Linked DNA regions of Saccharomyces cerevisiae S288C. Changing the gene in region 1 together with any one later gene gives a genetic interaction. Each region holds a gene or a part of one and is shown in the gene's direction. Other genes may lie near its edges.

What was found.
Region 2: of CAT2 (region 1) and PEX34, changing one suppresses a phenotype caused by changing the other (phenotypic suppression), as found in Saccharomyces cerevisiae (one study listed by BioGRID).
Region 3: mutations in CAT2 (region 1) and CIT2 impair growth when combined (synthetic growth defect), as found in Saccharomyces cerevisiae (one study listed by BioGRID).

The regions. Positions count from the first base shown.
Region 1 is NC_001145.3:191,147-195,457, forward strand, and holds CAT2 (carnitine O-acetyltransferase CAT2), read left to right. Parts: upstream 1-1,641; coding exon 1,642-3,654; downstream 3,655-4,311. Other genes in the region: RRN11 (Rrn11p), read right to left, coding at 1-621; VPS71 (Vps71p), read right to left, coding at 3,767-4,311. UniProt on the Saccharomyces cerevisiae protein: Carnitine acetylase is specific for short chain fatty acids. Carnitine acetylase seems to affect the flux through the pyruvate dehydrogenase complex. It may be involved as well in the transport of acetyl-CoA into mitochondria.
Region 2 is NC_001135.5:26,328-29,393, reverse strand, and holds PEX34 (Pex34p), read left to right. Parts: upstream 1-2,034; coding exon 2,035-2,469; downstream 2,470-3,066. Other genes in the region: KAR4 (Kar4p), read right to left, coding at 458-1,465; PRD1 (metalloendopeptidase), read right to left, coding at 2,488-3,066. UniProt on the Saccharomyces cerevisiae protein: In concert with the three peroxisome divisional factors, PEX11, PEX25 and PEX27, controls peroxisome morphology and abundance under conditions of peroxisome proliferation. Maintains mature peroxisomes in actively dividing cells.
Region 3 is NC_001135.5:120,413-124,372, reverse strand, and holds CIT2 (citrate (Si)-synthase CIT2), read left to right. Parts: upstream 1-2,044; coding exon 2,045-3,427; downstream 3,428-3,960. Other genes in the region: YCR006C (uncharacterized protein), read left to right, coding at 1,370-1,843. UniProt on the Saccharomyces cerevisiae protein: Peroxisomal citrate synthase involved in the citrate homeostasis. Catalyzes the condensation of acetyl coenzyme A and oxaloacetate to form citrate. Citrate synthase is the rate-limiting enzyme of the tricarboxylic acid (TCA) cycle.

The DNA.
Region 1 (4,311 bases):
GTTTCTGACTTCTGATGTTGATGTTTTTAATGGCTCTAACCCTCTAGATATAGATTGGAAGTAAAGTTTATTTTCCTTTGTACAATGCAAAAGTGGAATTTCCATTTTCCTTAAAGGAATCTTTTCAATTTTTTTAAAATTATGATACGTCATTTTTTGTTTGTTAATGGGCTGTTTATTTTGTGAGGACACTGTTCGCCAAATTTCGAAACTCTTCTCAGGTTTTTCGTATTTTTTCCAAAATTTTCTCTCCTCATCACTATCTTCCTTGTCTATCCCGGTGTCATGTTCGCCACCTTCCTCAGTTTCCTCCTCTTGAGAGTCTGTTTCGCTTTCCGTAGTAGAGTAAATTTCACCGACCACACTCCTCCAATGCCTTTCTCTTCTTCTTTTCTTCTGCTGTAGTACTGACCTCCTATATGTGCCGGCTTCACTGTTTTGACCTTCTTCTTCGTCATTATTTTCAGCTGCAGAATTTTCGGGCGTTGGCAAACTATCTGTGGTAGTAGATTTCTTGGAAATTCTGTCAAATCTTCTAGAAATGTAATTTATGTATTGATACTTTAACTTTCTTCTTTGAGCAAACTTCCTATTAGTTAAAGTTATAGGGACTTCAAACATGGTTTATGCATCATATTAGAATTTAATTCTAACTTTATTCGTGCTTCAATTTCTTTCTTCTTTTTCTTTAAAACACTTTTTTATTGAAGAATGCTCAAGTATAACCCACTCAAAAATATAATTGGCAATGAAAATATAACTTTTTTAGATGTTAGCGATGCTATATCATCTGAGATGAGATGAGATGAGATGTTTATTATGATCCATTTCTTTTCTTTTTTTATTTTTTTTTTTTTTTTTTTTTTCATTTTTCAACGCGGGTAATAGAGAATACATCCACTGTCCGGGTAAATTATGTTACAGTTAGCGCTTAATGTTCACTTCACAGTATTATGAGCTGTTTTTGTAATAAAGACGACTATAACATAACAAAAAAAATCAACTCTCGCTAGAATAAAGTAACATAATTACTAAAAGGTGGCTAAGCAACATATCGGTCCAACTTTTTCACCTCTTCTCAACGCTGTTTCAGAGTACATTTAATTTCCGCCATATACTCGAATAAGTGGCTAAGGGAGAGTCCGAAGAGCGTGCTACCAATTCTTCATCTCGTTAACAAACTGGTTCTCCGTTAAAAATTGTGCTATATGTCCTATAAGCCAACTCTATCTATATCTTTTCTTTTAGTCCTACTTTGGATACTGTTACCACCATTTTAGATTGCTTTTTCTTTTGCCGCTAGCCTTACAATATTTGGCAAACTTTTTTTTTTTAGCCGCCGAGACTCTTGATCTATGGCCGGGCGAAAGGGCAAATGACTGCTTATCCCCGCCATCACTTCCCCCCGCCCAAGGGTTTAGAATTGGGGATTAAGTAAAAACGAATGACTATTCCTCTCAAAGTCATCCTTGTTCGACAAAAAGAATGGAATATAACATATTGGAACAATTTCATCCTCTTTTCCCCATTTTCGCATATAAGAGCAACTAAACGCCGGTGAGTAAAGTGCCCTTCCCTACAGACTCTTTTACTCAGGTATATATATATATATATCCCTTAAAAACTAAAAAGAAAGCACTCATGAGGATCTGTCATTCGAGAACTCTCTCAAACTTAAAGGATCTTCCGATAACGTCAAGGAGAGCAATGCATTCGGCCATTGTCAATTACTCCACCCAAAAGGCCCAATTTCCCGTAGAGACAAATAATGGGGAACACTATTGGGCGGAAAAGCCGAACAAATTCTACCAGAACAAAAGGCCCAATTTTCAAGGCATTACCTTTGCTAAACAACAAGACTTACCATCATTACCCGTGCCCGAATTGAAGTCTACACTTGACAAGTATTTGCAAACCATCCGCCCATTTTGCAATGATGTAGAAACTTTTGAAAGACAGCAGCTGTTATGTAAGGACTTCTCGGAGCACATGGGGCCTATCTTACAAGACCGATTGAAAGAGTATGCCAACGATAAAAGAAACTGGATGGCCAAGTTTTGGGATGAACAATCCTATTTACAATACAACGATCCTATTGTTCCATACGTCTCTTATTTTTATTCTCATATGCCATTACCGAATCATTTATCGAAGATCGATAATGATCCTTTGATTAAGGCTACTGCGATTATCTCAACCGTGGTTAAATTCATCGAAGCTATTAAAGATGAATCTTTACCCGTAGAAATTATCAAAGGTATGCCATTTTGTATGAATAGTTTTTCATTGATGTTTAACACTTCGAGATTGCCTGGTAAGCCAGAGGATAACCAAGATACAAATATTTTTTATTCAGTTTATGAGAACAACTTTGTAACTATCGCTTATAAAGGGAAGTTTTACAAACTGATGACCCATGACGGGAATGACAAACCGCTTTCCGAAAACGAAATCTGGAGGCAACTGTACTCTGTGGTATTCCAAGGATCGCAGTCCGATCCCAAACTAGGTGGCATTGGTTCTCTCACCTCTTTACCTCGTGATCAATGGCGTGAAGTACATCTGGAGCTTATGAAGGATCCTATTTCTCAGGATTCACTAGAAACAATCCATAAGTCTTCCTTTATGCTATGTTTGGATCTTGACCAATCCCCTGTCACTTTGGAAGAAAAGTCAAGAAATTGCTGGCACGGTGATGGTATTAACAGATTCTACGATAAGTCTTTACAGTTCCTGGTCACCGGTAATGGTTCATCAGGTTTCTTAGCTGAACACTCGAAGATGGATGGTACGCCAACATTGTTTTTAAATAACTACGTTTGTCAGCAGTTGAATAAACTAGATGTGGATGACTTCATGAGAAAAGTAATTACGCCATCATCTACGGTGGCAATGAAACCTATGGAACTGCCCTTCATTATCACACCGAAGATTCATAAAGCAATCGAATCTGCCCAACTACAATTTAAGGAAACAATTGGTGAGCATGACCTACGTGTTTGGCACTACAACAAATACGGAAAAACGTTTATAAAACGCCATGGCATGTCACCTGATGCATTTATTCAACAAGTTATCCAACTGGCGGTTTTCAAATATCTGAAACGACAACTACCAACTTACGAGGCTGCTTCCACGAGAAAATACTTCAAAGGCCGTACTGAAACTGGTAGATCTGTGTCCACCGCCTCCTTAGAATTTGTTTCTAAATGGCAAAATGGCGATGTTCCTATTGCAGAAAAGATTCAGGCTTTGAAACATTCTGCAAAAGAGCATTCTACGTACCTGAAAAATGCTGCAAATGGTAATGGTGTCGATCGTCATTTCTTCGGTCTAAAGAATATGCTAAAATCTAATGATGACCAAATTCCGCCCCTTTTCAAAGATCCCTTATTTAATTATTCTTCAACTTGGTTGATCTCCACATCTCAACTATCTTCGGAATATTTTGACGGTTATGGTTGGTCTCAAGTAAATGACAACGGGTTTGGACTGGCATACATGTTGAATAACGAGTGGCTGCATATCAATATTGTCAACAAACCAGCCAAGAGTGGAGCCAGTGTTAACAGATTACACTATTATTTATCTCAAGCTGCTGATGAAATTTTTGACGCCTTGGAAAATGAGAATAAACGAAAAGCAAAGTTATGAATTTTTCACCTTTCCTCTTCAATTAATTTGTGAATATTTTTGTTAAGTATCTACACTTACATACGTATAAATAGGGGAGAAAAAAGGGCTTACGAATACATACTGATCATTACTATCTATTTCTGCACCTAGTTTCATTATGCAATTTAAAACAACTTACAGAACAAATCTTATTTCCACAATTAACGCAACTTGAAATACTATCGTAGCCACCGCAAATAGAGCATGTCGTAATTAGGGGTAACACTTTGAAGTATCGTTTATTGTAAACATTGTGGTAAATGACATTCTTATCCATCAAGTTTAGCAGCGCAGAATCTAAAAACGAATGTAAATTTCTTTTTGAACTTAAAACCTTCTTTAACGCCACAATACGATTGGTATTCTTCCTCTTTGGTTTAGGTAGTTTTGTAGATTTATACGATAATTGTATTTCCCGTAAGGTTTCTGGTTTAAGCACCCAACCATGACCATACTTGGAATGCTCTTTTACAAAAGAAGAACCACCCATTAATGCAGAGAGACCATCCGAGGTCTGTGAGATCGGTTTGGTTGTTGATTCAATTCTATCTCGTGGTACGCCTGTGAGATCACTTAATAAAGTCGGTACATTTGGTAAATCCGAGAAATTTTCTGTGTTAAGTTCCATAAACCTCC
Region 2 (3,066 bases), on another chromosome or scaffold:
AAACCCTGGGCAAAATAATTATTTCGAATAAGTACCTCGACTTCAAATCAAAACAAACAAACAAACAAGCAAACAAACAAATAAACAAACAAATTCTCTGTTCCTATTTTCTTCCTCTTTGTTCTGCACTTCCAGCTTTTTATGCGAGAACATCGTGTAAACTTCCTATTTAAGTAATTACATGGCTGAAAAAGTGAACACGCTAGAACACGAAAAGACAAAAAAGAAAAATGGAAAAAACAGAGGAAAATCAAGTAGAATAATGTTTATTTACCTTTCACTCAACTGTATCTTTTTGTTTATTTACTTTTCGAGTTTGCATAATTGTACTGAATCAATCCTTGCGCAATTTGGTTTTGAGAAGAGTTTCCAGTAAAATAAAATGCAAAATTATTGTTTATATACTTATTTACTAGTATATTTAATTGAGCTAAGCAAGGATTTATGTGTTGATGCTTTATTGTGCTTTTTGTACTGGACTTCTTGGTCTTAACAGCTCAATCTCATTTTTTAATGGGATATTCGAACCTAAATTAGCTATCTCTTCTTTATATCTCTTGGGTGAGAAGTTATCCAACATAACATCTGGGCTCACTATAACCCAGCCAGGTCTTACTTTGACGGGTGTCTCGTAACCAGTCCTTGCAGGAATAATATGTAATCGTCTAGTCGCGGTAGAGAAGTTTTCTGCAATACGATACAAATGGGATGGTACAGCACCATTAGTGGTGTCCTTCGTTTCGATACTCAAGTCAGTGTCTACGTTACAATGAATAAGATGTCCATCTGTAGACCTCCTTACTGTACCTGTGATACACATCCAACAGTGCCATTGCATTTTTTCCATCAACGTTTCATCGTCCTGATCTAAACCTGGATAAAACGGTGATTTCTTGTCAATAGGAACAAAAACCAATTCTTCACTTCTTCTAAACTTTTTAGCCCATATTTCATTATTCAAAAGTTTAGTAAGTTCATTGATTTTTTGAGAATTGGCCCAGATGAACAGGAAACCTGGTTTGGAGATCAATCTATCCAATGGCAATTGGGTTAAAATTGGGTAAATAAACTGATTTTCTGTTAAGCAGCCAATCATCACCACGTCGAAAGTCAAATTTTCGTTCTGTATCCAGTGATTCAACGTTGGAACAATGGAATCTATTCCGATTTTACACCCAAATGGCGTAGTGGCAAATTGATTTATTTGTTTAGCTTTCGCCTGAAATAATTTCTGAAGTTTTGGATAGCCATCAACCCTATTCTCAATATTAGTAACATGCTGTTGCGGTAGCGACTTCCCATGAATGTAGTTATTCGAGTAATCGTTTGTATGGAAGTCTCTAGAGGGTTTGAATGATACGTGTTTAGATTTCATTTCTATTGTTTCCTGGTTTGGCCCTTGCAAGTGACTGTTGTTGATGTGTCTGCTTTTATTCTGGTCGTAAGTTGGATCTTGGAATGCCATCTTAATAGTATTCTCACTTCTCTTTTGTTTTATAATGGCTGTTCTACTTTCTTCTATGTCATAATATTTAACAAAAAGTCGCACTTGAAAAGTTGAAACAAGTTATGTCGCAAGATGAAACTCGGAAATGACGAAGTGTGAAACAAGACTACAGAGCGACAAAAACCAAGCTGCAAATATACAGTAATGAAACTGAAAATATGTCCAGCAAAACTAAAATTGTTTGAGCTCGATACTAACTTCCTTCTTTTTTTTTTTTTTTTTTTTTTTACTTTTGGCTATCCTATTGTAAACGCTGTTTTACCCTTTTGCAAAGCATTTGATCACAAGATATATCCCAAAAACTATTTTTTGACTTAAGGCATTAAGAGGAGATAAGGCTCCTAATGTCACATCCAAAAGCCAAAGTATGGGACAAGCATTTCGCCCCTTTGCTCTTATTGCTTCTTGTTAAGTAGAAAGGGTAATTATAATCGAAAAATTCGCGGGAAATGATTTCAATGTTCGACTCTGAGGTAAGAAGTAAAGAGGAGATGAATAAAAGTAAAGGAAGAAGAAAAGAAAGTTGAATGGTTTCGAAGAAAAATACGGCTGAAATCAGTGCAAAAGATATATGGGAGAATATATGGAGTGGTGTAAGTTCGCTGCTTGATTTCTTCGCAGTATTGGAAAACCTAGGCGTGGTCAACGATAAGTTATATGTAAGTGGGCTATTACGGAAAGTTTGGCTGTGTTACTCGTGCATTTCAGTGATAAAATGTGTATGGAAATTAATAAAATTATGCAAGGTGAAATTTAAAATCGATCAACGATTGGATGGGGAGGGAAATGGTCTAGTAAAGGATAAGTTGATAAACTTCAAGAAAAAATATAACGAACATATCAGACATATTACTGCTGCTTTACTCCAAGATTTGAGCTATTTAATGGTTTTAATCTATCCAGGGACGAGGTTATTTAAAAGATTATCTAACATAATAACACTTTGTAGAATAATTGTATAATTTTATGCTTGAACGAATTTAGTTCTGTAAGCCCAGCTCCTTCAAGAAAGCATCCTTAGAAGGTTCCCTACCCAAAAATTCTTTCAGATTATCATTAATATCATAAAGGCCACCACGAGCCAACACAATATCACGGTATTGTATCCCATTCTTGGCATTTAACGGATCCTTAGCGAATTTGGTGTGATACATATCAGTTGCAAAGACTTCCGCCCATAGATAACCGTAATAACCGGCAGAGTAAGAGTCTGACATTATATGGCCAAATGAATCATAACCCTTGGATAACGTACCACCATTAGAAATCAAAGAAATATCCTGTCTCAATTGGTTCCAGGTATCGCAAATTGACAGGTTTTGCAAGTCTTTACAAGTATGTACTTTCATATCAAATAACCCAAAATGTAATTGTCTTAGAGTGAATAAAGCACCATTTACGTGTTTAGTTTTGATCAATGAATTGATCAAAGATTCTGGAATTTTTTCGCCCGTTTTGTAATGTGATGAGAGGTTGATTAATTCATTCTTATTCCAAGTCCAAAATTCTAACATTTGGGAAGGTGCCTCCACAAAATCCCATGGAACAGATCCGGGGCC
Region 3 (3,960 bases), on another chromosome or scaffold:
AGAAGCTGTCATCGAAGTTAGAGGAAGCTGAAGTGTAAGGATTGATAATGTAATAGGATAATGAAACATATAAAACGGAATGAGGAATAATCGTAATATTGGTATATAGAAATATAGATTCCATTATGGGGATTCCTAGACCCTCGAGGAGAACTTCTAGTATATTCTGTATACCTAATATTATAGCCTTTATCAACAATGGAATCCCAACAATTATCTCAACATTCACCCATTTCTCAGAATGAGATATACTTTGAGTAAAAGTGGTGGAGGATATTACTTATGTCCTTGGTAGCATGGGTCAAGATAGTTGTGTTAACTTGTTAATTATTTTTTACTATGCTTCTCAATTAAAGATGAAGTTTAACGAATGGTCTAGACTTATTCTCACAGTTTACCCGGAGGTCATCATTCTCTTTAATGACAATATTTACTCTGTCGTCACTTTCGTAATTGTTTCGTGTCTGTTTCGCAGTCCATTTGGAATGCGACAGTAAGTTAATTACAAGAAGTAGTAACAACAACTTAGCGATAATGTTTCTCATGTGTGACGCAGGGTTACTTTTGACTTAAAACGACCATTTTGCAGTTTTACTTCACGTTCGCAAACTTTCAATAACTGGCTGTTAATCTGGTCGTTAAGAAAAAGGTCAATGACGATGGCAGGGAAAATAGGGCTGTATCCCAGACTTCAGGCGCTGTTCTGCCGGGATTTTTCAAAGGAGGGCGTGTGGTCTAGAGGTATGATTCTCGCTTAGGGTGCGGGAGGTCCCGGGTTCGAGTCCCGGCTCGCCCCACATTGTTTTTACAATGTGTGGTGTCGCTACTGGCAGAAATGGTACGGCATTTATCTTTCCGACGTAAAACAAGTGTACTCAGGAGCAGTTTTTTTTTGCAATATGCTAAAACTCGTACAATAAACCAAGGCGCATGGCATGTTTGAACATTTACTCGTTATTTCGGAGGTTCCTCAGATGGCTGAATGGAGGTACAGATTATGATTTCTAGAAAACTGCAGCGGACTTTACAGAGTAAGCTGGAGAAGACCAATGTTAATGAAAACTTGAACTGCTGAAGTGTGATATTCAATGTATGAGATAATCCATTAAATCATCTACAGTTTAAAGACTGTAGGCTTACATGACCGTTTATCACTGCGATATTGGAGGAAGCGCTTCGGATCAATGGACCTTTTACTTAGCAGAGCGAAGGCTGAAAATCATGAACCCCAACAGCATGTGTGACCTCTCTTCTCACGCCTGGCAAGAAACCAAACTACGGCATACATTCAGCGCACCAAAAAGGAACTCCGTACTATTTACATTAAAAACAAGAAAATGTGTTGCCATTTCCGTAAAATGAATGGCCCATGTTCATACGCGTATGCAACCGTCTTATTTACACTCCGACTAATGTCCTTCTAATTACTGTGGAAGACGGCCGTATAAGCGTCCTTCTGTGGTTTAGATATGCTATACCGGCGGAACTTTGTTACACACGGCTCGCGCGAATCCTTAGGGGAAAACATTGCGCTGACTTTCCCCAGAGTTGTTGCCACAACATAAGCCGCTTTGGAGTGTTGAACAAATCCGTCCTTGGGTCATTCAATCAATGGCTTGGCGGTATCTCAAAAGAGCGCAAACTAATAGCGCGCACATTCGACGCATTTATCCGGTGGTCATCGACTAGGGGCGAAGAGGTCACGACCTATTTTTTCTTGCAGAAAAAAAGTGTGACCTTTTCCGTAGCTAGACGTCTATCAGGGCGTCAGCAATGGGAGGCACAGCGGAAAAACAATAACAATGGTAAGCGCAATTACCTTTTGAGCGTTACATTCGTATGAAATTGGTGACGTTAATCTAAAGATAGTCATGCTCTCAAAAGGGCCCATTATTCTCGACGTTGAGCGTATATAAGACTATTAAAACTTGGTTCTTTAGATATGGTGTTCGTTCCTCATTATTAAGTTTCAGGGAACAATATCAACACATATCATAACAGGTTCTCAAAACTTTTTGTTTTAATAATACTAGTAACAAGAAAAATGACAGTTCCTTATCTAAATTCAAACAGAAATGTTGCATCATATTTACAATCAAATTCAAGCCAAGAAAAGACTCTAAAAGAGAGATTTAGCGAAATCTACCCCATCCATGCTCAAGATGTAAGGCAATTCGTTAAAGAGCATGGCAAAACTAAAATTAGCGATGTTCTATTAGAACAGGTATATGGTGGTATGAGAGGTATTCCAGGGAGCGTATGGGAAGGTTCCGTTTTGGACCCAGAAGACGGTATTCGTTTCAGAGGTCGTACGATCGCCGACATTCAAAAGGACCTGCCCAAGGCAAAAGGAAGCTCACAACCACTACCAGAAGCTCTCTTTTGGTTATTGCTAACTGGCGAGGTTCCAACTCAAGCGCAAGTTGAAAACTTATCAGCTGATCTAATGTCAAGATCGGAACTACCTAGTCATGTCGTTCAACTTTTGGATAATTTACCAAAGGACTTACACCCAATGGCTCAATTCTCTATTGCTGTAACTGCCTTGGAAAGCGAGTCAAAGTTTGCTAAGGCTTATGCTCAAGGAATTTCCAAGCAAGATTATTGGAGTTATACTTTTGAAGATTCACTAGACTTGCTGGGTAAATTGCCAGTTATTGCAGCTAAAATTTATCGTAATGTATTCAAAGATGGCAAAATGGGTGAAGTGGACCCAAATGCCGATTATGCTAAAAATCTGGTCAACTTGATTGGTTCTAAGGATGAAGATTTCGTGGACTTGATGAGACTTTATTTAACCATTCATTCGGATCACGAAGGTGGTAATGTATCTGCACATACATCCCATCTTGTGGGCTCAGCACTATCATCACCTTATCTGTCCCTTGCATCAGGTTTGAACGGGTTGGCTGGCCCACTTCATGGGCGTGCTAATCAAGAAGTACTAGAATGGTTATTTGCACTTAAAGAAGAGGTAAATGATGACTACTCTAAAGATACGATCGAAAAATATTTATGGGATACTCTAAACTCAGGAAGAGTCATTCCCGGTTATGGTCATGCTGTGCTAAGGAAAACTGATCCTCGTTATATGGCTCAGCGTAAGTTTGCCATGGACCATTTTCCAGATTATGAATTATTCAAGTTAGTTTCATCAATATACGAGGTAGCACCTGGCGTATTGACTGAACATGGTAAAACCAAAAATCCATGGCCAAATGTAGATGCTCACTCTGGTGTCTTATTACAATATTATGGACTAAAAGAATCTTCTTTCTATACCGTTTTATTTGGCGTTTCAAGGGCATTTGGTATTCTTGCTCAATTGATCACTGATAGGGCCATCGGTGCTTCCATTGAAAGGCCAAAGTCCTATTCTACTGAGAAATACAAGGAATTGGTCAAAAACATTGAAAGCAAACTATAGTTGGATTACATCCTACTTTTACACCCCTCTGCATATTTTTCTTTCCTCATGACCATTTAGTATTTAGCACTTATTTAATACAATAATATATTCTTTTAACCATACACTATGATAATGATATTTATAATTAAGAAAATGAACGTTACTATTTCCTTCCTCGTTTTAGTTACATAAAATTTACTAATGGTTGGAAAATTGCGGAAGCTATCACGCGATAACTAGGTACACACGCATTATTTTTATAATCCCATTATTAATAAATCCGTTATGACCCTTTTAGTAATAACTTATTAAGAACCTCCGGGTAAAATACTGTACTGCGGGGAAAGAAGGCGCTTCCCCTTCTTGGAACTTAATATAAATAATAAATTTGCCTAAGGGCATTAGGCCTTACTGCCTTGGCTAGCGTACTTATTTCGATTCATACAATTTGCACTATTCCGGCAGCTAGTTGATACTATAACATCCTACATTTTTACTTGTTTTACGTTCATTTTTATTTGAAGTTTGTAAACTTTATCAGAAAGAAAACA